3 linked regions of the Diceros bicornis minor genome follow. The protein of the gene in region 2 binds, or shares a complex with, the protein of the main gene of each other region. Links are inferred from orthologs where the notes say so. Each region holds a gene or a part of one and is shown on either strand. Other genes may lie near its edges. The genes, in order: DPF1, ACTL6B and DPF3.

Evidence for each region.
Region 1: ACTL6B (region 2) and DPF1 share a complex: the UniProt entries of both Homo sapiens proteins name them as parts of the neuron-specific chromatin remodeling complex. The link is inferred for Diceros bicornis minor from reciprocal best matches to the Homo sapiens genes ACTL6B and DPF1.
Region 3: ACTL6B (region 2) and DPF3 share a complex: the UniProt entries of both Homo sapiens proteins name them as parts of the BAF complex. The link is inferred for Diceros bicornis minor from reciprocal best matches to the Homo sapiens genes ACTL6B and DPF3.

The regions. Positions count from the first base shown.
Region 1 is NC_080773.1:12,444,083-12,451,591, forward strand, and holds the start of DPF1 (zinc finger protein neuro-d4), read right to left. Parts: upstream 3,092-7,509; 5' UTR 3,063-3,091; coding exon 3,034-3,062; intron 1,677-3,033; coding exon 1,516-1,676; intron 1,443-1,515; coding exon 1,335-1,442; intron 1-1,334. UniProt on the Homo sapiens protein: May have an important role in developing neurons by participating in regulation of cell survival, possibly as a neurospecific transcription factor. Belongs to the neuron-specific chromatin remodeling complex (nBAF complex).
Region 2 is NC_080765.1:5,161,450-5,169,306, reverse strand, and holds the start of ACTL6B (actin-like protein 6B), read right to left. Parts: upstream 3,027-7,857; coding exon 3,002-3,026; intron 2,537-3,001; coding exon 2,460-2,536; intron 2,256-2,459; coding exon 2,090-2,255; intron 1,802-2,089; coding exon 1,701-1,801; intron 1-1,700. UniProt on the Homo sapiens protein: Involved in transcriptional activation and repression of select genes by chromatin remodeling (alteration of DNA-nucleosome topology).
Region 3 is NC_080763.1:21,002,499-21,010,511, reverse strand, and holds the start of DPF3 (zinc finger protein DPF3), read left to right. Parts: upstream 1-4,973; coding exon 4,974-4,986; intron 4,987-8,013. UniProt on the Homo sapiens protein: Belongs to the neuron-specific chromatin remodeling complex (nBAF complex).

The sequences.
Region 1 (7,509 bases), on a different chromosome or scaffold from region 2:
CCATGTTCTTTGCTGGAAGGAAGAGGCTTTCCCACACTCAACCAGCGACAGACTCAAAGATTCAACCATACATACCAGGCAGGATGCCTAGACCCTGGGGGAGACACAGCCAGACCCCCAGATCCACTCGGACACACTCAGGAGGGGACATGGCCAGACCCTCATATACACCTAGATACATCGGGAGACCCCAGCTAGACCCTCACTTACACCTAGACACATATGGAGAGATAGACATTCAAACAGGATACACGAGATACACGTGGACAGACACAGGGGAGATACAGACGGGTCATCTGAGACAGGCAGACACACAAAGGAAGAGATACACCCAGACACTCAGATACACCCAGATCCTCAGATACACCCAGACACGTGGAGGAGACACCTCCAGACCCTTGGATACACCCAGAGATACTCAGAGACCATCAGACCATCAGATATACCCAGACCCACGTGGGGAAGACACAGCCAGACACTACCATGCACCTGGGCACACGTCGGGGAGGTACAGACACACCTAGAGAGAATCACTCAGATGGATACACACTGACATACACAGGGAGGTGCAGACTGTCCCTGTGAGGCAGTCGGACACAGCCAGGTGGACACTCCAATACACCTGGACCCACACAGACTCTTGGATACACCTGGACGGGAAAGAGAAACAGCCAGTGACTGATCGCACTGGACACATTCAGAAAGCGATAAGGCCAGACACTCTGGCAGACCAGTACACATGGGTGGAAATACACCTAAGACACCAGACACTAAGGGAAGAGATTCTCCCAGACATTCCAGAGCACCTGGGCACTCAAAGGAAGAGACAGTGGACACCCTGATACACCCAGACACACTCAGGAACAGCTGGATCCTCTGACAGACCAGACACACAAGAGGAAATAAACCTTCTAATACACTTGGAAACACCTGGAAAGAGACACAGACACTTAGATGCCCTCCACTACAAATGGAAGACTTACCATCAGACACTCTGACGCACCCAGACACACTCAGGCCCCCACAGGAAGAAATCCAGCCAGACACTCTGATCCATCCCAGCTCCCAAGGGAAGAGACACAAAGACTCGAGACACCTAGACACACACAACAGGTACCACTCTGCCCTCGAATACACCTGGGCCCAGTCACTTAGGGAACAGTGGAGAATCTCTGGACTACACCCAGACACACAGCCAGCCCCTCAGACACTCGCCAGAAGGGAAATGAAGGCGGATGCGCAGACACACACTGGCACCGCCACACACTTCTCAGCGGGGGCTGGGGGCACTGATGGCGGCCACCCGGGCAGAGGACGGACGGAGCTCCACCCACCAATCTTGTACTCGCAGGGCCGGAGTCTGGGGTCCTCCAGAATGTTGAGTCTCCGTTTCTTCCTCCAGCAGCGGGCGGGGTACGTATAGATCTGTCCCGGGGCCAAACCTGGAGGGAGAAGGGCGGTGAGAACCCGCCGCGAGGCCGCCGCCCCGCCCCACCCCGCCCTCCCTGCGGGTACCCGGCCCGCGGTGGGTCTTCTCCATCCAGATGTAGCAGTTGTTCTGGGCCACGCCGGTCTGCGAGTCGAGGAAGGGCAGGCGCAGGCTGCGCTCGGCGCACAGGCGCGCGTTGTAGCTGCGGCAGTGCTCGATGGCCTCGCGGTAGAAGTCCTCGCCTAGGCTGCGAGGGCGGGGAGCGGGCGGGCGGCTGTCAGCAAGGGCAGGCGCGCCGGGCGCCCAGCACGCCTCCCCCGGCCCGCGCGTCGGGAATGGGTGGGCCCCCTCCTCCAACCTCCCCTCTCCCCCTCCTGTCGCTCCTGGACCTCGGAGCCCCCAACCTGGGATTCGGGCAGGCCTCAAGCCAAGGAGCAGATCACACAATATAGAAAGAGACAAAAATACACCGGGACTCATCCACCCCTGCATATGTCCAAACACACAACACAGACAAATCACACATAGTCACACCGGATTCACACACAAAGAGAGACATATCCCAAGACCCACAAAGAAGCAGACCAATCTCACATATGTGCACACACAAATGTCTACTGAAAAACACAAATGTCACGTAGTGTAGAAGACAGATCACACATATATCCATACACAAACTCACATCGCATATCCAAAGACACACAACATAAACAAATCACCCACACAAAGACACAACATGCAAACAGACAGATCACACACACACACACACACTCATGCATCCAAAGACACACACAGATACACAAATGTTAAAAGAGGAGAAATGTTAAATTACCTACATATGTACTTACATATTCAAAGACACAACAAAAATCACACACACACTATCCAGACACACTGTACAAAGAAATCACACAGATTCATACAGGATACACACACACATTCACAAAGATACACAATACAGAAACCAACATCTAAAATACCACATATTCAAACACACAAAGATACACACATATACAGCACAGAAACAGACCAATCCACCCATGTTCACACAAAAATTTACACACAAATACATGCATACCCACACATCCAAAGCCACAGAACGCAAATGATGCACAGTTTGAAAGGGCATGTACACACACTCCAAGACCCAAATATCCAAAAATACCTAGTGTCCAATAAAAGAAAGTCAGCGCATATCCACACACATATCCACAAAAACCAGAACACAAACAAGTGACACACACTCCATGTCCCAAGACAAAGGTGGTGTGGGCTTCACTCAAGTTTAGCAAGGCCCCCGCACCCCCGGGCCATTTCACCGCCTCCGCAACCCCGGGGGTCGCGAGTCGGGACATGACCCCCTTCCCCGAAAAGGACCCGAAGAGGACTCGGAGTTCCCCACACCCTCGCTCCTCCAGGAGCAGCGCGTCGGACCCCGTTCCAGCCAGAGCCCCACAGTCGCACACGCTCGCACCCCCGCACAGCCCGGCCCGCGGTGACAGCCCCCCAGACACCCCGGCGGCCCCACCCCCAGCCGCCACACACACGCCCGCCCGCGCCGACCCGCCCGCGCGCCCTCCCCCGCCTCCCGCCGCCCGCGGCACCTCAGGGGGCCAGGGATGACCGTGGCCATCTTGCTCCCCGGGTCCTGCCCCCAGCAGGTCCCCGCCGGGTCGGTCCTCCCCGCGCTCGGGCGGGCGCCGAGGCCGCCCATCCATTCATTCCCGGGGGGCGGGCACAGCAGGGCCGCAGCCAATCGCGGCGGCGGGGCGGGGCGGCCCGGGTCATGCCGGGAGTTGTAGTCCGGGGCCGGGAGTCGGCGGGACCAGCGCGGAGGGGGCGCCGAGGAGGGCCCGAGCACGCACAGTCCCTCAACACGCTCACGCGTACAGACATCTAGTCTCACCGGCGTACGCTCACACGTGCACACCTGGACGCGCCCACACCCACACGGCAATGTACACACATTCACACGTATACTCACAGCCGCCCACGTAGACTCACGCACACCCCCACTCCCACGCCTCTACCCAGACGCGCATACATTGACACTCACACGCACACCTCATTGCCAGGAGGCAGAGACGCCTGCCTTCCAGGTGCCCACACAAGGTCCCAACATGCCCGCGCTGGCGCACGCGGTGGCTCACTGACAACGCCCCCTCCCCAGTCCCTCCTGGCTCCAGAGACCCCTGTCCCTTCCCACTCGGGGTGGACACTCTCACAGTGACCCCGCCCTGCTCGAGCCCCTCCGCAGGCCTGACAACCCTGGGGCTAGCCAGGAGTTGCCGCCACACCTCCTGGGTTCAAATCCGGGCTCTGCCACTTGGTGGCCATGCGACCTTGGGCAAATAACTTCACCTTTCTGGGCTTTAGGTTCCTCGTCTGTAAAATTATTAAATGAACAGATATGGGTAAAGTGTTTTAAAAGGTACCCGGCAGGGAGTAGGTGTTCAATAAATTCATCCATTCCACAAAGAGGATCTTATATGTACTAAGATGTCAAAGGGCGAGAGCTAACCGTTATTAGAAAGAAGAATGCCTGGCACATAATAGATGGTCAATAATATTTGTTGAGTGAATAAATATACGGAGGACCTGCCATGTGCCAGGCACAGTTCTAAGTGCTTTAACAGCAATTAACTCATTTAATTCTCATTATGACCCTCCTGGGTGGTTCTATCAGGACCCCATTTTCCAGATAAGGAATCTGAGACACAAAGGTGCGGTCCCTTGCTCTCAGACTCTGGTGGCTGTTTGAAGGTAGGACTAAGGGAAGGATTCTGTACCCAAGTCAGCCTTACCTCCTGCTATCTCCCACTGTCACCCGCACTGACTCTACCCTAAGGGACCCCCAGAGAGTGACCGAGTCACAACACCCACCCAGTCCCACGCACAGACCTGGAACCCACCCCGTCCAAAGTTTGTGTTCAAGTTTGAGCCCCTGCGTAGATGACAACGCCCACAACGGTCCTTGTCCACCAGAGGGCTCTCCAGGCGACAGAAGAGGCGCACCAGCCTTCGCTTCTTTTGTCACTTGATGCCCCCATCTACCCCCGGGTGAGAGAGACCCCCTCAAGGTCTTCCACACCCATGGTCACTTCTAAACACACGCACACACCCCCCTCTAGTCTTAGACCTCTTCCACAAACGCTCCCCCTTCTCCCCCAGGTGAGGGCTTGACCTTCCCCTCCCCTATCCCCAGTGGAAGGGCATGGGTCTCTGCTTCACGTCTGGTCTACAGTAGGTGGCAAGGGGAGTGAGTCAGGGACGCTGGCATCCCCACGCTCACTCTGGCCTCCAGGCGCCTATAGTGGCCACCCCACATCTCATCCACAGCAAGCCCTGCACCTGGACCCGTCAGCTCAGCCCAGAGAGCGAGCACCCTTGCCACCTTCCTCTCGTACCTCCCACCACCCTCACAGGTCCCCCAACACACTCTCACACTTGCTCCCCACACCTGCAGCCTCAGACCTGCCAGCTCACTCCTGCCCTGCCCCAACCCTGCACCCTGAGTGTAGAACACTCCATGGCCTCCCGGGAGGCCCTTGTCCACCAGCACGACTTGACCCGCAGACCCAGGCTGACGCTTGGAGAGGGGCCTTCCTCCCTTTCCGTACCCCTAGTCACCTTCACAGACCCCTCTCCCACACTGAACTCCCCTGCGCTAAGAACCCTCCTGTCCCCACCCCCCAGGACCCGAGTGAAACTGGACCACAAGTGAAATCAGTATTGATGCTATTAATAATCATCACTCCATTCCATCAGGATCAGGCTCTGTAGTAAGTGCTTTACAAAGATCATAACAGCCCCATGAGGTCATAAGAGCTGTTATGAGTCCCCAGTCCACAGATGGTAACACTGAGGCTCAGAGGGGGGCAATGAGTGGCTCAAGATGGGGCTTGAATCCCTGCAGTCAGAACTCCTGAGGGCTGCCCCCTGCAGCCTCCCACTCCCAAGGAGATTTGACTCTCATTCTTTCAGGAGTAGGAGCCCACCCTCACCCCTGCAGACCCTTGGGAGGGGGAGAGCAAAGAAGGGCGCTGGCATTCCCAGCCCAACGCTTGCTCTGGCCTCCAGGGCCCTGCAGTGGGCAGCCCCATAGCTCCTCCAAGGTCTGGGCCTGGGTCAGAGGGAGGAGGCCTGGATGCCTATAGATCCACCAACCTGCACAGGAACCCCATCCCAGCCAGTGTGAGGGCGTCCCTCACAGGGGAGACATCTGTCTGTGCGTGAGACTTAGAGTGAGAGGGGAGCAGAAGGGTGTCACGGTCACACACAGACCCCAGCCCCACGCGCACCCTCCAGGCCCTCTTCGCTCTCCGCAAAGCCGCAGGTGTAGGCGCGTGCTTATAAGCCCCCGCCCCGCTCCTCTCCCAACTTCCCCCGCCAGAAACCAGAAGCAACCGGGGCCTTTGGTTCAGCCACCAGGCACAGCCCTTCTGGGGGGAGGGGGGCGCTCCCGGCCCCCTCTCCGCTCCCCACCTCCCCGCACGCGTTGCTCAAGGTCAAGGCTGCGAGCGCACGGGGTTGGGGGAAGCGTGGGGAGGTCGTCCCGGCCCCTTTGTGCGGCGCCGCCGGCGTTCGCCCTCCGCCTCCTCCCCCAGGCCCGGGAGGAGGGGGAGGGGAGTCCGCGCTCGCCAGCCGGGGAGGGAGGGCGGGAGCGGCCGCGCGCCTGTCACTCTGAGCCCGCTGTCACCGCCTGGGGAAGGGGGGTGGGGAGCGCTGGGACCCGGGAGTCCGGGATCCCGAAGAGGGAGCGAGCGAGAGATGGAAAGAGAGTGAAGAAGAGAGGTGGAGATAGCGAGCGATGGCTAGGAGAGGGAAGGGATGGGAGCCAGCTAGCCTTGAACCCAGGCGTCCAGGTTGCCAGCCACTGGGCGCAGGAGGAAGCGAACGCACGGAGGACGGACGCGGACAGAGAGAAAGGGAGGGAATCCCCGGAGATTGAGGGAGCTCCGAGCACCCTCTCCCGAGGCATCTGGTCCCCACGGGGATGGGAGATGCTCTCGTTAGATGTGTATGGGCGGGGAGAGGGAGGGATCCCACGGTCTAAGCTGACCGGGGCTTCCAGGCTTCTGCGTCTTCAAGACCCGGGGAGGAAAAAGGGGAGACAGCAGGGATCGAACCGGGGACCCCCGACGTCTCAGCTCCCACCCTGCGGCCGCGCGAGCCGAGGTCCTCGGAGAAAGAGGGGGAAAAGAGAGAAAGGTGCTTTGATGAGGGGAAAGAGGGTGGCGGAGACCCCGGAGACTGAGGTCTGGACTTAGGCGTTCGTACTCCCAGCCCCATGCTGGGGCAGGCCCGGCGCCCCCAGAGACACGGAGGAGGAGAGACGGAGGAGGAGGAGAGGGAAGCCCCTACCCCCACTCTGGGTGGGGAAACGGCCTCCGCCACCCCCAGCCCGCGCCACATTCCTTCACTGACAGCGACAAAGAAGAGGCGCCCCCGCGACCCTGCAGGGCTCCCGCCCCAAACCCCATGGGGCGACAGGGGGTGTCGGGCCCCCCAGGGACGGGGGGGCGCGCTGGAGGCCCCCATTCAACTACCATCCGCGCGCTGCGTCCCCCTCCCCAGCGAGGGAGGGGGAAGGGCTCCGGGGGCGGGGGGTTCGGGATGGAGGGACGTGGACGGCGGGGACACTCACGACTTGAGCGGGTTCTGAATGGCGGTGGCCATGACCCGCTCGGCTGGGCCACCTCCGGCCCGGGGCGCCGCTGCCGCCGCGCGCGGGCCCAGCCCGGCCTGCGCCGCCCGCTCTGCCGCCCAGCGCGCTACGATTTCATTCATTCTTGGGGCTGCGGCGCGAGCGGAGCGGGGCGGGCCGGGGGCGGGGCTCGACCAATCCCCGCACCTCCCGGCGCACGACGGGACGTGGAGTCTAGGGGTGCGCGGCGGCGCCCGAGGGCGCCCCTGTCCGGACTACACGTCCCAGGGGGCGTCGGGAGGACCGCGCGCCCATTGGCTGCTGGGGATACAGGGCGGGGCTGGGTTCTCCCCAGAGCATCCTTCCCTCCTCCCTGGGGGTGCTCCATTCCCAGCTCCGGCTCTCCATCCTCCAGGGACAGCGGGCGCGGGAG
Region 2 (7,857 bases):
GTTCTAAAAAGTAACATTCACGGAACAAAAAAAAGAGCTCTTGGAAAATAAAAACACAAGAGCAGAAATGAAAAACTTAATAGAAGAGTTGAAAAATAAAGTTGAGGGAATACCTTGAAAATTAGAGGAAAGATAAAGAGACAGAAAACATAAAGAGAAAAGATAATAAAATTAGGGGACAGTTCAGGAGGTGCAAAATCCAAATAAGAGGGTTTGGCAAAAAAGAGAACAGAGAAAATCAAGATAAATAAATCATCAAATAAGCAATTAAATTTTTTTCACTGACTTAAAGACTAGGTTTCCAGATTGAAGTGACATACTAAGTGTCTAGAGCAATGGATAAAAATAAACCAATATCACATTGTGAAATTATACAAGACTGAGGACACAGTGAAAATTCTATAAACTTTCAGGAAGAGAAAAAATTACATCAAAGGATCAGGAATTATATGGTTTCAGCCTTCTTGATGGCAACAATAGATGCTGGAAGACAGTGGAGAAGCACCTTCAAGATTCCGAAGAAAAATGATTTCCAACCTGGAGTGTTATACTCAGCTAAGGTATCAATCTAAGGTTAGACATGCAAGGTCTCAAAAATCTTACTTCCCAAGACCTTTCTAAGGCAGTTACTGAAGGATGTACTCCATGAAAACAAGGTAGTAACTCAAGAAAGGGAGTCATGAGATACAGGAAACAGGACTTCTAACACAGGAGAGAGGCAAAGGAATTCCCTAAAATGACAGTGCAGGGAGATGTCAGATGATAACTATGTCCTCTGCACAGAAGGCAACTAGTCCAAAACGGAGCAGATCAATGGGTTCCTGGAGAGATTTCCTCAAGATGATGAAATTGATAAAATTCCTAAAGGAATTAATGTCTTGAGAAAAGATATAGATAACCGATGAATGAATAATTTAGAGTCACATTTTTAAGTAGATAGAAAACTATGCAAAATAAAAACCAAGACAATTTTCAGTTCTAGGAAAAACAAAAAGCTGCATAAGAAAGGAAAAGTAGCCATTGTTTATTGCCCGCCTCAGCCCTGATTAGCATACATAATCAAAAGAGTGTAAATAACAAATATTGGTCTTAAAAAAACCCTAAAATACAACTGTACTTAAAGATGGGGAATGAGAAATATGTGTGTTGGACTGGGGGAGGAAAGAGAGCTAAATGTTCACCTTCTAAGGGGGAAATCCACAGATAATGCCTAAAACTAAAAAATCAACAAGCAGCTATTGGAGTGTGATATTCAGAGATATGAAAGATATGACCAAAAAAATTAGCTAAAAGAGAGAAAAGCAGTTGCCTCTGGAAAAGCGGAAATGGAAGGAGGAGGGTAAGAATGGTAGCTTTTTTCTTAACATACTTTATAAAGCAAATTGATTTTTTATGTGCACATATAATATTGACAAAAATTTTAAGTTAAAAGGTCAAAAAGGGACTTTGGGAGGAAAAAAGGGCAGTGGATAAGGCCGACTGGAGGATGGGGGAGTAGATATAGTGGGAGGAGAGAGGGAAACATGGAGACTAAAACAGCGAGGAAGGAAAGTAGTTGAAGATGATGGAGTTGGAAGGAAAGTCTGAAAAGCCAAGTGGAGTGATTGATAGCAGTGGCTTGAGGGGCAAGGTGAAGGGTGGAAAGGAGATGCTGGGCTCAGGGCTGGACTAGAGGCTGGATGAGATGATGAGACACTTACCGGGGCCTCAGACATGAGCACTGGGTGCAGGTTTGGCTCAGATTTGACATGTTTGCTGTAGGTGTGGTCCAGGATGGCACGGAAGCACTCCCAGTCCTCGACTGGGGCCAGGAGACCAGTGTGGAGAGATGAAGATGGGCAGGCAGGGGTTCCGGGACAGGAAAGAAAGGGAGGAGGGAGGCCAAGTTCAGGGGAGGGGAAGGGAGACCCAGCTCCAACAGAAATCCCTCTTTCCCAGGAATCTGGTGGGGCTTCTGGGTTGGGAACCAGGTGGCTGTGGGAAGCAGTGAGGGGATCCCCGGGACTTGGGCAGCTGCAAGGAAGACTCTTTGGGTGGATGTGGGGTGCTCCAGGTCTATGTCAGGAGATGGTGAGTAAAGACCCCTTACTCATGCCATTCTTGAGAGGCGACATGACCTCCGCTCCATCCCGAGGCACGTGCAGGGCGTTGGTGTCGATGTGAAAGATCTTCCCTTTCTTCTCTTTCTCCCCCTCCAGTTCCAGCCCACCCCCCTCCTCCGTGGCCAGCAGCCCCACCGTGGTGGGGAAGTCAGCCTGGAAGCGGGGATGGTAAGGGAAAGGGATCAACCTCTTGCCCCTGTCCAGGCCCACGGCAAGGCCCTCAGCCCGCCCCTGGGTTTACTCCCACATTCCCGCTCAGCAGAGCTTTGCGCTGTGCATCGAGAGGCCTGGGCCACGGGAAAGCCTGGAGGGGAGTCCAGAGCCCCTAGGATTTGGGGAGGGGGCTTGAAGGCTCACCTTGGGGCAGTCCTCCCCAGCGTACCCAGCGCGGACTGAGAAGGAGCCAATGTCAAAGACCAGCGCCCCCACCTCATCTGTGCGGGGAGACAGGCGTGTAAGGGGGACCTCTCCCCAAATCTCTCCCCCGTGGATAGTCCGGAGAGGAGGTCAGGGCAGAGCTACAGTCTCGCCACCTTCAACGCCGGCCGGGGCAGGTGGGAGCTCGGCCTGGAGTCCGGGTCCTGGGAGTGGGGGTCAAACCTCCAGAGTCCCTTCTTGCCCAGTGGCCTTGTTCAGGCCACTCTCCTTGCTGGGAAGGAAGGGGCCGGGGACCAGGAGGAGGTGGGTTGAATGGCGGAAAGGGTGGGTCCAGTGCGCGAGAGCGTCCCGTGAGGGTTGAAGGTAGGAGTGGCGCAGGACCCAAACCCCGGGCTGGACCCGCTCGAGCGCCGAGGTGACAGGCCCCGGGTGCCCAGAGCTTGGGTCGCGCGGGTTCGGGGCGCGGGGCTGCGGGCAAGGCTGCGCCAGGCTGGGGAGCCTGAAGCCCGAGGCTCGCTCACCTCCGCCATAGACGCCCCCGCTCATAGTGCCCTTTCAGCGCTGCTCGCGGCCCGTGGGCGGCGGCGGGATCAGCACCGAGGAGGCCGGACAGCTCCCAGGATCGCGGGCGGGGCGGGGCACCAGGCGGCCAATCGGGAGGCCGGATCCACTGCCCCCAACGGCGCCGCCGATTGGCTGCGAGGCGAGACAATAACCCGGCCGGGGGCCGCTGCTTTAAAGGTGCAGACACCTCAACATTAGGCAGCCAGGAAGGAACTAGGTGGAGGATGGCAAGGACATCCAGACCGGCCCCTAGGGATAGGCAGGGTAGAGAGAAGGCATATGAAAGAAATGGAAACCTTGTCCATCCGGAAACCAGGACTCCGCAGGGTGACTGATGAGGACCCCTGCTCCTCGCTTTTTTAAATGGGGTCTAGGACAGGGCGCTATAGTCCCAGAGAGTCATCCATTCTCAGGCTCCTGAGTATGGTTTGCCATACCCAGGCCTGAAGGATATCACCTGGAGAGGGAGGGAAGGGAAGAAAGAAAGAGAGAGGTGCGGGAGAAGGTGTGTCTCCATCTTCTCCCTGTTTCATTCCACCCTTGTCTTTCTGAGGGGCCCTCTTTTCCTCGCTGGTCCCCTGGTGCCTGGGCCTTATACATACACACATGTACACACATTCACACATGGGCGCTCAGGTAACCCAGCTTTAGCTTCCTTTCTCTTTCCCTCTCTCTTCATCTGTTCTCCTCAGGAGGCATTTATCAAGCAAGTACGTTTTCCACTAGTTGGCTCCTCAGTTCTCCTAGGCTCCTGGCATGACCACACCTCCACAGCAGTTTTGACAGTGAAGGTGAAGGAGCAGCTCTGACAGCCTGGCTTAGCTGAGAGACTCTAATATGTGAGCATGTGTGTAGGTGTGTGCCTGTATGTATGGTTTGTGTGTTGGTATATGTGTGCCTGTGCATATGTATGTATGTATGTGTATATATGTGTGCATGTGAATACATGTGTGTTGAGGGCTCTCCTACCTACTTGTTTAGGGGTAGAGGGAGCATTAAGACCAGAGATGGCAGGCCAGCCCCGTGGCATAGAGGTTAAGTGCGCACACTCCACTGTTGGCAACCCAGGTTCGGATCCCGGGCGTGCACCGACACACCGCTTGTCCAGCCATGCTGAGGCTGCGTCCCACATAAAGTGGAGGAAGATGGGCACAGATGTTAGTTCAGGGCCAGTCTTCCTCGGCAAAAAGAGGTGGATTGGCATGGATGTTAGCTCAGGGCTGATCTTCCTCACAAAAAAAAAAAAAAGACCAGAGATGGCAGAAGAAGAGGGTACTGTATGATGGCTGCATGCCCCTGAAGGTTCTCTGCTCACCAGATGCCCACTCTTGAAGAGACTCCACCTGTCCCCAGCCAAAGGACAGATGGTTTGAGCTGGCTCATCAGTTACCCACTGGCAACAGTGGCATTTCACATGCCCAGGGTTGGTTCCAAGTCCAGCCTGGCTCCCCAGACTGGAGGAGTCCAGGCTTCAGGGGGAGGGGTGAGCTGTAGGGGACAGAGCTGACTAAGGAGCCGGGAAATTGCAATATTCCTGAGTGACCCTAGGTCAGTCATTGGCCTCCCTATAAATTGAGGCCTGCATGAATTGGATGAGCCCTTTAACCTCCCAGTGCCTGCATTTCTTCATCTTTCCAAATGCGGAGGTGAGGATTAAGGGAACACTGGAGGAGAGGAAAGTGATTCTATTCATGGCCTGCAACTCTCCTTTTGTTGACAATGACGTTGCTTCCCTTCCCCTGTAAGTTCATCTTGTCAATTCCCACTACCTCTACCCCCTCCCCCACCCTACTCAGGATCTCAGATTCAGAAACTGCCTCCGTTGGGAGAAACCTTACTGATCATGGATCCAAACTCTGGGTTTTACAGGGGTTTCCCCAGATAGAAGCCAGGCCCTGTCTTGGGTCACACAGCCCACTGGGGCAGAGCCGGGACTCGAACTCACATCTCTTCTCAGCCAGTTGAGAGATGACCTTGTTCATAACACCTCTGTGTTCCTCTCCAAGCTTCACTGTCCCCATCTGTAAGATGGCCGGTGATGAGGACTCTATCTGATGCCAGAATGAAGTCCCTGGCTAACAGCTGGGCACCCAGGACCATCCAGTAAACACTGAGTCCTAAGAATGTCCCTGGGGAGTTTTTGAGGCTATCATATTATTATTCATAAATTAGAAATCTGTAGCCTACTTGGTAATGAGAAGTGGATTTTCCTCTCATGTAGGCTGACTATAGAACCTCCCAGTCAACTGTGGCCCGTTTTTATTTGTCATGGGATCTGACATGATAGTCTATTGTATTATGGAAGTGCCTAAGGTGAAGGTTATTAATATACTTTGTTCGTCCATTCATTGATTCAACAAACATCTTTTATGCGTGCAGTGTGCCAGGCATTGCGAGAGGCATAGGAATACTGAGGTGCATAAGAGATATCCTTGCTCTCGAGGAATTTTGGTGCAGTGGGGTGCTCAGACGTGCACAAAAGTGGGGTGAAATGGAGGCCCAGAGGAGGGAGGGGCTACCTGTCTCCGAGAGTCCAGGGAGGCTTCTAGCAGTGAAGTTCAAACTGAATTGTGAAGGATGAATAAGGGCTCACTGGTGAACAAGGTGGGGAAGGTCTTCCACACAGAGAACAGCATGTGCAAAGACCTAGAGACGTGAACATTTCTGGCATATGTCGAAATAGTTAGGAGCTCAGTCTAGAAGGACAGTTGGCTATGAGCTGGTGACAGAGACCAATATCAGGGGGAGATGAGACTGGAAAAGTCATCAAAGACTAACTTGTTCATGCGTGAACTCTATTTTTATTTGGCAAACACAAAGCATCTACTCTGCCAGGCACTGTTATAAATGCTTTACAAATATTAAGTAATTTAGTCCTCATAATGACTCGATTATTATCCCCATTTTGCAGGGGAAACAGAGGCATAGAGAGGTTCAGTAATTTGCCCAAGGTCACTCAGCTGGTAAGTGATAGAGCTGAGATTTGAACTGTGGCATGTGAAAAGTACTGATCTGGGGAAAATGTTGCCATGCTTCTATTCATTTCATAGATGTTCTCTAGGTCCCTGATAGGCACTGGGAATAGAACGGCTCATGTAACTTCGCATGGAGTGTAATGTCTATCCTGGAAGATGGACGATTAAACAATTAACTCAATAAAATCATCTGGAGGTTCTCACATTCTAGGCCCACATTCAGTTGGCTGAGCACCTGGTAATGACGTCAAAGGTGGTAAGTCAGGACCCTCAGACCCCGCACCTTGGAAATGATTTGGCATCTTGTGAGGGTCTGTTCATTGCTTGGTGAGCTCTTACCTCTCCAGAGCCTCTGCCAGACACAGAGGTGTCTTGGCTTCATAGGGAGCCCCTAGTGCAGGTGGCAAGTGCCCAGAAATGAACAGTCCAGTAAGGGCTGCAATCGGAAGGGAGCCAGCATTGCAATGGGGCAGCAACAACAGTGTGGCCAGGGAGGCAATATTTAAACTAAGCCTGAGAAAATGACCTGAATTTTCCTGGCTGACAAGGAAGTAGAGTTGGCGTGGGGATGGGAGGTATTCTGAGTAGAGGAGACAAGACCCAGCCCGTGTGCCATGCAAAGAAGTTTGGCCCTTCTCTTGGAATCAATAGGGAAATACTGCATGGCTTTTAACAGCTAAGGTATATGATCCAATTTGCATTTTAGAAAGATATCTCTGACAGCTATATGGTAGGTTGATTAGGGAGGGACTATTGTAAAGGCCAGGAAATAGGCAAGAACTAAGGTAACAGTAGTCGGCAGACAGTTGAAGGGATGGATTTAAGCAAAATTCCAGAGGGAGCACTGACAAGATGTATCCACCAATGACATAGACTGCTAGCCTCACATCAATAGCCATCTTCCATCTTTATTTATTAAAAATGCTTTAGCTGGGTATATGGCTACAGACTACATTTCCCAGCCTTCCTTGCATCTGGCCAAATTCTAAGTAGAAGTTAGTGGTGTCCTTCAATAGGAAAGAACGTGTGCTTCCTCCCACCCCCCTCCCCTTCCCAATAGATGGCATTCAGATACAATAGTGGGAGCTTCCTGGGCAACTTTGGACACAGAGATGGAAGCTACATGTTGAGGATGGCAGAGATGCCCCCACAGTACTGGAGGATCTATTTTGGGGTTGTCGCTTAAGCCACTGAATTTTTGGGACTCTTTGTTATAGCAGTTTTGACTACACCCTAACTAGTTGACTATCCTTTGGATATGGGGAATGAGGGAGTGAGAAGCTCCTGATTGGATGGTGGATGCTGTTAACTGGGCCAAGAGATTCAGAGAAGGGGTAGGGTTGGGCAGGGTAGGGTGAGGTCGAAGAGGATTAATTTAGTTTTGAATATGTTGAGTGTAAGACGTCTGTGAACAGTGGTGTGTAGTAAATATTTTAACAACCAGCTCTTTGAGGAGATGGAGCCCTGATCTGAAGTGTTTGCTGATTTCCATGGTGTAAATACTCCTACCATGTCAATTACAAGTTACTACTATCAACATGACTTCATTGAACAAGGAGTTGGGAAGAGAGGTATACAATGGGCTCTTGTGAGCTAGTCTGAGCTGGCACCAGCTGACTCCAGTACACCACTGTCCATGAGCATCCAGATGGAGATATTCAGTCTGCAGTTGGACAATCACCAAGTCTGCACATGGGGAGAGACATCTGGGCTAGAGATAGAGATTTGAGAGTTATGGCAATTAAGGGGTAAAGTCAGAGTAATGGATGATGTCACCAGTGAACAACATGGAGAGTGAGAAGAGGAGGCTGAAGTTGGGATCCTGGGAAAAACAATGT
Region 3 (8,013 bases), on a different chromosome or scaffold from region 2:
ACAATGAACAGTTCACAATGAGGTTCTGTGTGAGTCACCAGTTACCTCCCTGAGGTCATGGTGATGCCTTCAGGCAGGTGGCAGGGGGACAGGCCTTGTTTTGGCTCTGAGCCTGGTCTCTATTGCTGCTATCTTTCTGTTTTTTCTCAGTTCTTTGAGCCACTTAGTGTCCTTCCATGATCACCTTGGACTCTTCATATCCCCGTTCCCTGGCCAGAGTGTCATGGATACATTTGTGGACATCTGCCTGCAATGACTCCAAGTCCAGACAGCAAATGCAGCACCTGCATCGTCTGTAGCTCTTTCCATTTCTGTGGCTGCTGCCCAGATCCGAGGAGACGCTGGGGATTGAGGAGAGGCTGCTGCCTAGGGCCAGTTTTTCATCTGCTGTGGCTGCCCGTGGATGTCAGGAGTGGTTTCTCCTTGTGCTGCAGTACTGGTGGGATTGTCTTAACCACCCTGGCTTGGAAGGAGAACAACTGTGGGGTGAGGCTTATCCTCCAGTCACTGCGATACTCCAGAGAGTCATCCTCCGGTATTCCAAAGACCAAAACCACGTGGAAGTAAGTCTGTGCTTATTTCCATTCCAACATTATCAAATGGTCCCCTGACTGCAGTGGCCTGAGAGTTTTATTCTTTATTTCTGTCACGCCTGTTTGTATATAGGCTCAATTTGCAAATATATAACCACTTGCCTGTCTGCCCATCCACTCATCCATTTGTTGAGCAGTTGATCCATTGATCTATATCCATCAGGAATGGTAAACTCATGTACTTAAAGGGACCAAGAAGGTAAAGTAAATGAGGAAAATGGGCTTGGTAAAGACAATAGGGAGTGGTGGGGACTGTGGTGAGCCAGAGAATGCAGTTCACTGAGCTGCCGTCTACATTCCCTGACTCTGACTGCCTCTCAAGTTTGAAGAGTGGCACCTAGTGGCCACAGTGAACCATCTTTATCTCAAAAGCATTTGGGTTCTAGTAGACTAGAGGTGTTTGAGTGGGGCCCCTGGCCTTTTCTTCAGCCTTGTGTAAAGTCTATTGGTAAAACCAAACTCTGGAATGTGCGTCAGGGCTTTTTAAGGTTGCCAATGGCAAGAAACTCAACTCAAACTGCTCAAGCATGAAGAGGAATGTACGGGCTCAGGTAACTAAAAGTTCAGGAGTGCATCTGCTTCACTTGGGACTGGGTCTAGGGACTCAACAAGGCCATTGGGGCTCCCTTTCTCTCTCTCTCTCTTTCTTTCTTTCTTTCTTTCTTTTTTCCCCCAAAGCCCCAGTAGATAGTTGTATGTCGTAGTTGCACATCCTTCTAGTTGCTGTACATGGGACGTGACCTCAGCATGGCCAGAGAAGCAGTACGACGGTGCGCGCCTGGGATCCGAACCTGGGCTGCCAGCAGCGGAGCGTGCGCACTTAACCACCAAGCCACGGGGCCAGTCCGCCCCCTTTCTCTCTCAATGTGGCTTTCCTTTGCAGACAGGCCTCCCTGCTGCTTTCCCACAGAAAGTCTAAGATTGACCCTAATTTTCCTGCCTTAGACCACATGTTCACCCTTGAAGCAATCACTAAGTTCTGGGAAGGTGGTTTCCTCGTTGGAGGGCTGGGTCACAGCCTGTCTCAAAAGTTGAGGGGGGGAGTGGGGTTGATTTTGCCAGACTGGTGGAGGGGGGAGAGGTGGTTCCCTGGAGGAAAATGGAGGTGTTGTTAGTGGAAGGAGGTGGAATGGCAGCTTTGTGGGCAGACAGCCATGCCCATCACAGGGAAGATGGATTGATGGAAGGTTGGGATCTTACAATTGCGCTATGAAGCAAGACCCAGGACACTCAGGGGGACCAGAGCTGCCCACCCTTTCAATCCCACCCCTAGTCTGAGTAGTGGCCACCCCCGACCTCTGTCCAGCCCCCATGATGCAATGGATGAGGAGAGCACAGTGCTTAGTGGGCATAGACTGTCTTGCACTGCCTCCTACACACGTGCGAGATGCTTGGGTATAAGGAAACCTGATGTTTACTCCACAACTGTGACTTTCAAGGGTTTTGGAGTTTTGGAAGAAGGCAATAACCCGAGAGGGTCCCGAAGTGCTTGGAGCACTCTGTGAACTTTCAACCAGGTTCTGCTGTTGGAGGAGAAGTTGCTGAGATGAAGTGGTTCCTTTCAGCCGTGCCAGCCATGGGCTCAGAACTCTGCTATGCTGAGCCCATGACACGGCCCAATGCGGGAATTGAGGCCAGGGAAGAGCCCTACTTGGCATTTGGAGCCTCTGACTTCCCACCTTGGGCAGAAGCCACTGAAAGGGGAGGGAGACCAGGCTGCATCCTCAGCAGCCGGCAGCCCCTGGGGCAGCCTAGTGGGGACCCAGTGTTCTCCATTGGGACTTTGGTCCCAGGGAGTAAACCAGGCAGGTGTCATGTCTGCCTTAGTCACGTGTCATCCTCAGAGCCAGAAATACCAGCGATCTTTGGATTGAGCAATAGTTTTCTCCTCCCCATCAAGGATAATTTTAACTGTTTCCTACCTTGTTTTTTTGTTATCGAAAATATGGCTACCAGAGAGCAGAATCTTAAAAGGAAGATAGAACAAAGGTAAATAGAACTCATGAAAGGATATAAAAACACTTGAAATTGTCAATAAGTAAAACTCTGCTTATAGAAAAAGCAGAATTAGTGATGGCAGAAAGTACTCAAGAGAGAGTCTTCACAGCCTGTCTCATTTGCTACAACAGCTTAAGGAAGTTGACAGGGAAGGGTGCTTTTCTTTTAATGTCTATTTTAGAGATGTAGAAATGGTTATTAAGAGATTTAGCAAGGTCTTTCAGTTACTGGGAGAGTTGAGTCTAGAACCCCGATTTCTAAACAGCTAGTATAGTTTTTTAATCACCTCACAACATCACCTCAACATCTGTTGCCAATCTTCCTCTTTTTGCTTGAAAAAGATTGTCCCTGAGCTAACATCTGTGCCAATCTTCCTCTATTTTGTATGTGGGATGCTGCCACAGCATGGCTTGATGAACAGTGTGTAGGTCCATGCCCGGGATCTGAAGCCACGAACCTTGCACTGCCGAAGCGGAACACGCGAACTTAATCACTACTCCACCAGGCTGGCCCCAAACCTGGCATCCTAACGGCAGTGCCCAGCCCTTCATCGAAATGCTCTGCTGGCTCTCACATGGTGTGACATGCATGGAGCAGGCACTCCTTCAACATTTACTGGTGAAGTGAATGAATGACTGTCACTCACATACGCGAGGAGCAGCTGTAGGAACCCCCACCCAGAGGCAGCAGGGGAGACTGAGGGGCTGCCAGGAAACCCACTGGACAGCAAGGCGTTTACTCCTGCAGGTGCAAAGATAACATGGAGCTGGCTATCTTACTTAGCATCTCGCATCTGGACTCGTGGGCTGGTCCAACTAAATTCTTGTTGAATTTCCTGGGATATTCTATCCAACAGAGCTCCAGGCACTGAGCGGGAGATGGGGATGGGGATTTCTCAAGGTCTCCTTTTCCCCTGAGGCATCCCTTACTCCGTCTTTGGATGCTCCAAATGGCCCAGCTGGTGATCCAGGGTGGATGTTGGGTGCGGGCTTGTTAATTGCCTATCTTTCTCCCTGTATCTGGAAGGGAGATGAGGGGAGAGAGTGATGATGCAGATAAACTTAGTGTTGAAGCTGCAGGGGGAGCCCATATGGCCTTTGCCTGCCTAGAAATTACCCATGTCCCTAATAGACTGGCAGCTTGTGCGAATGTTTCCTCCCTTTTGCTTTCTTTTATGTCTTGCTTTTGTGAGAGAGATGAGAATTTACCACTGATGAGCCTCACGCGAGAAAATGAATAGAAGGCAAGTGACCCCAGCTGTCTCCCCTCCTCCCTCCAGCCCCAGGAATGTCTTGTCCGCCTTAGTGATCTTCTTTGCCCAGCCAGTTCATGTGGGATGCTGCTGCTTTGTTAAATTGCCTCACCGCTGCCGTCTGACACTGTTGGTTTCCCGCCTCGCCAAATCTCCCTCAAGTTATTACTTCATTTGCAGCAGTGGTCAGAGCAAGGCAATTCTATTGATTTTCCTTCTTTTGTTCTCAGTTTCTCCATATATTAATTGGGTGTAATCATGTTTGCCATCACCCTATCTTTAGGGGAGATTAAATTTTGGTGTTTAAAGGGAGGGGTAGAGAGTGTTTTTGACTGGAGTGAGAGTATTCAAATTACAGTAGTGCACAGATTTTAAGATGAAACTCAGTTTTGTGTTTCAGGAGTTTTTTTTTTTTTTTTTTTAAAGAGCATTCTCTGTTCTGGATGTTTTCCAAATGGTCTATAAAATGCTGTGGGAGCTGTTCACCTAGAGATGTCACCTCAACGATTTAAGATTTGGAGGGATCGGGTGGGGAGAGGAGTTTCAGGACAGCTCTGGAGGTTTGGGCCCCATCTCATGCTGGGTCACTGGAAATGGCCTCTGCTAATTGGACCATGTCCTGTCAGGACACATCAGACAAGGCCACGGTGACACCCGAGCTTGGTTGGGGGGAATGGTCTGTAGGAGCAGGTGTCACTGCTGCCGTGTCCTGGGAGCTCTTTGTTCCCCTGGGGAATGGAGCCAGCCAGCAGTCATGTGGACCGAGGTCAGGAGACTGTGCTGAGCTGGGTTCTCCGGGAGCCCAGGAGAGCCAGGACCGAAGTGTGAGCTATTTTGGGTTGTGTGGTGGCAGAGCTGGTGTGTGTGTGTCCTCTCAGGAGTGAGGATGTTTGCCTCCAAGAATCACTCCCAACACTAGAATGTGGGTTTTTTGGCCATTGCCTTCCAAAAAGAAAAAAACCCCTCCGGTCCTTGGATTCTGTTAATGGGGAATATAAATTTTGGCTGCAGGGAGGAGCTGAGGAAGCACAGGCTGCTCCGGGTCCCACAGTAGGAAGCCTTCCTCCCTTTCTGTTGCTGCCTGGTCCCTCCACCCTCCCCTTCAGAGTTTCCTTGTGACTGTCCCGGGCATGGGCGTGAAGGGTAGGTGCCTGCGCGCGTGTTTGGTTGAAATGCTGGTGTGTGCACATGGCTCCCTGGTGGCTCTGCAGGAAGGAGCAGCGGGGGTTGTTCCAGTCCCCCGGGCTGGTCAGCACCTGTTCTGGGCAAGCCATACCATGCCCTTGGACAAAGTGACTCTAGGCAGCATGGAGCCCTCCACACTCTTTTCCCTAACCTGTAGCCCACTCCACCTGACCCCCTCCTGGTCATGGGTGGCCAGCGTCTCTGAGCTGCCTGCCTGGACTGGGTTCGAGTCTGTGGCCCTCCCGCCAAATGAAGGGATTGGCTGTGAGACAGGGTAACTAGTAGGAAATTGAAGTCTGTGGATTTGGGCTGCCCTGTAATCCCAGCTCTGCCACTTAGTAGCTTTGTGATTTGGTTAAATTCCTTGTCCTCTTTGAGCTTCAGTTAACTCATCTGTGAATATGAGAGTGATGTATCCAAATGGCAGCTGAGCAGGGTACCTGCTGCATAGCAGGAGCTTGACAAATGCTCCTCTGATTACTGAAGCTGTGATGTTGGCTTGTTGAGCTACCAGTACACCATCCGCAGGGTCGCCCCAACACCCTGCACAGGACAAGCCTGATCCCAGCAAAGCGGATCCCTGCATTGGACCCGATAACCCCTGCTTTCATTCTAGGCACGGGCAGACAGCTTGTTGTGGCCCTTGTAGGGCTCCCCTGAGCACCCCTCGCCCCCTAGTATTGCCTCAGTGGTTAGCAAAGGGGCTGGTGGGGCCCAGGCAAAGAGCAGAGGCTGCCAGGGCAAACCTCCAAGCTGGCAAGTCAACATTTATTTATAGGTCTTGGAGGGAGATGGCACCCCAGGCAGTGAAGAAGGGCCTGGCAGGGGCAGCTGCAGCGAGCAGGGCGCAGTGACAGTGGTGGGGGGCTGGAGGATGCCGAGAGGCCAGGTGCATTTATGTGTTGAAGAGTCAGGGTTCCAGCAGAAAGCAGCAGATTCAAACACAGTAAACTGAGGAGTGTTTAATAAGCTGGCTATTTATAAAAGTGTGGGCAGGGGAACCTACAAGGGGATAACGCAGCACCCTGGGGCGGGGGGAGGGGTGTCCCAGGGAGAGGGGAAGGTCACCGAGATTGCAGAGGGTACTGTATGGAGAGGACCGCCTGACAGGAGCTGGCACCTTCAGTGGAAGGACGCAGCCACACTCCAGTGACCCAGCAAGGAGGAGGCTGGGGGAATTAATATCCCGTCTCTCTCTCTTCCCTCTCTCTGATCTACTGCTAGCCTCTGCTGTTGGCCCAGGCCACAAAGCAGAGAGAAGAGGGTAAGTGGCTGACCACACAGGACAGACTTCTAAGGGCACTGGGCAGGGAGAAGAATGGTGGAGGGAGAACCTGGAGGGGCCACTGCACAGAGGAGCAAGGGAGAGGGGAGAGGTAAGGCTGAGACATTTAGGGATATGTGGGTGAAGAGAGTTGAGTGACCGAGGGGACCCAGCCAGAGGCTCTGTGGCAGAATGGCTAATATCATGGACTCAGGGAGGCAGACAGATGGGGACTGAAGCTCACTCTACTTCTGTGTGGTCTTGGGTGAGCTGTGTAAACTCTCTAGGCCTCAGTTTCCTCATTTGTAAATTGGGAATGATAAAGGTACTATTCTCAACCTCATAGTGGGGTACAGTGACATACTGAAGTCCTCAGCAAGGTGCCTGGGAGAGTGTGCAGGCTCAAGAAACGAAGCTAGAACAGATAGAGGGGTTCGCATGAAAGGAAGTGTCCAACTGTGCAGCCCCCTGTGTAAGGCCCTGTGGGGACAGCGTTTATCCACCTGATATTTATTGAGTGCCTCCTATATGCCAGGCACCCAGTTTTAGGCACTGGGAATACAGGGATGAACCAACTAGACCAGTCTTTCTCCCAGGGAGCTTATGTGGGGAAAAGACAGGCAGTAAGTAAATATAAACAAAATAATTTTTGATAGTTGGCAAAGTGCTAAAAAGACCATAAACCAGAGTGATGGGTAAAGAATGAGTGCTGTAGATAAGGAGCTTGGGGAAGTGGGAGTGAGGTGGGAGCGAGTGGAGCTGGAGGAGCAGACTCAGCCACTGTAAAGATGAGGAGAAGAACGTGCCTGTAGAGGGAGCTGCAGGTGCAAAGGCCCTGAGCCAGGAGGAGGCTGGTGTTTGTGGGGCAGAAAGGTGGCTTGGCAATGGAGCATGGAGCTGATAATAGCATCTCCAGGGTGAATGGGAGAGCTAAGTGGAAAGCTCTTAGCCACCTCTACACGCTCACTGACCGTTAGCTGCTGGCTGTTATTATTATTACTTTAACAAAAATTATTTTGAAAAAGGATGGCAGAAATAAGTGGGTAGATACGATATAAAATGTACCAGTGGCTCAGCATGCATTTACTGTCGACACAGTGTGGAGTGGAGTAGTTAAGAGCCCAGACTCGGAGACAAGAACGCCTGGTTCCGATCCTGACTCAACCACTCCCTAGGTGACCTGGGGCCAATGACTTACACTGTCTGAGCTGCAGTGTCCTCATCTGGATAATGAGGGCTAGTAATAGCATCTCTGTCGTAGGGCTGGTGTAAGGATGGAATGCATTACTATTTCTAAAGCACTTACCACAGTTCCTGGCCCACCGTAAGGGCTGCCTACTGGTGTTGCTGTTGCTAAGGCTCAGATGGAGATGCAGGGCTGGCCCAAGGAGACGTGAACCAAGGACTCTGCTCCCCATGAGTTTACTCATAGTCAGGTCTGGGACATGTGTCACCTGAGGCAGCATGTGAAGGTTATTGAATAAATGGCCAGACCATTACTGGAGGGACGCATCATCAGAGGTCTGGAGTGGGGACGGGAAGGCTTTGAGGAGGGATGTGAAGACAAGAAAATAAAATTACTACTAACTAGATCTGATGGCATCAGTCAGGTGAAGACAGAAATAATCAGATCAGTCTGCCCCAGAGCACTGCTTCTGCCTTCCCCATGTAGCCTTCTGCAACAATCTACACTTTCCCAGGCCCGGCCTAGGCTTTGGGAG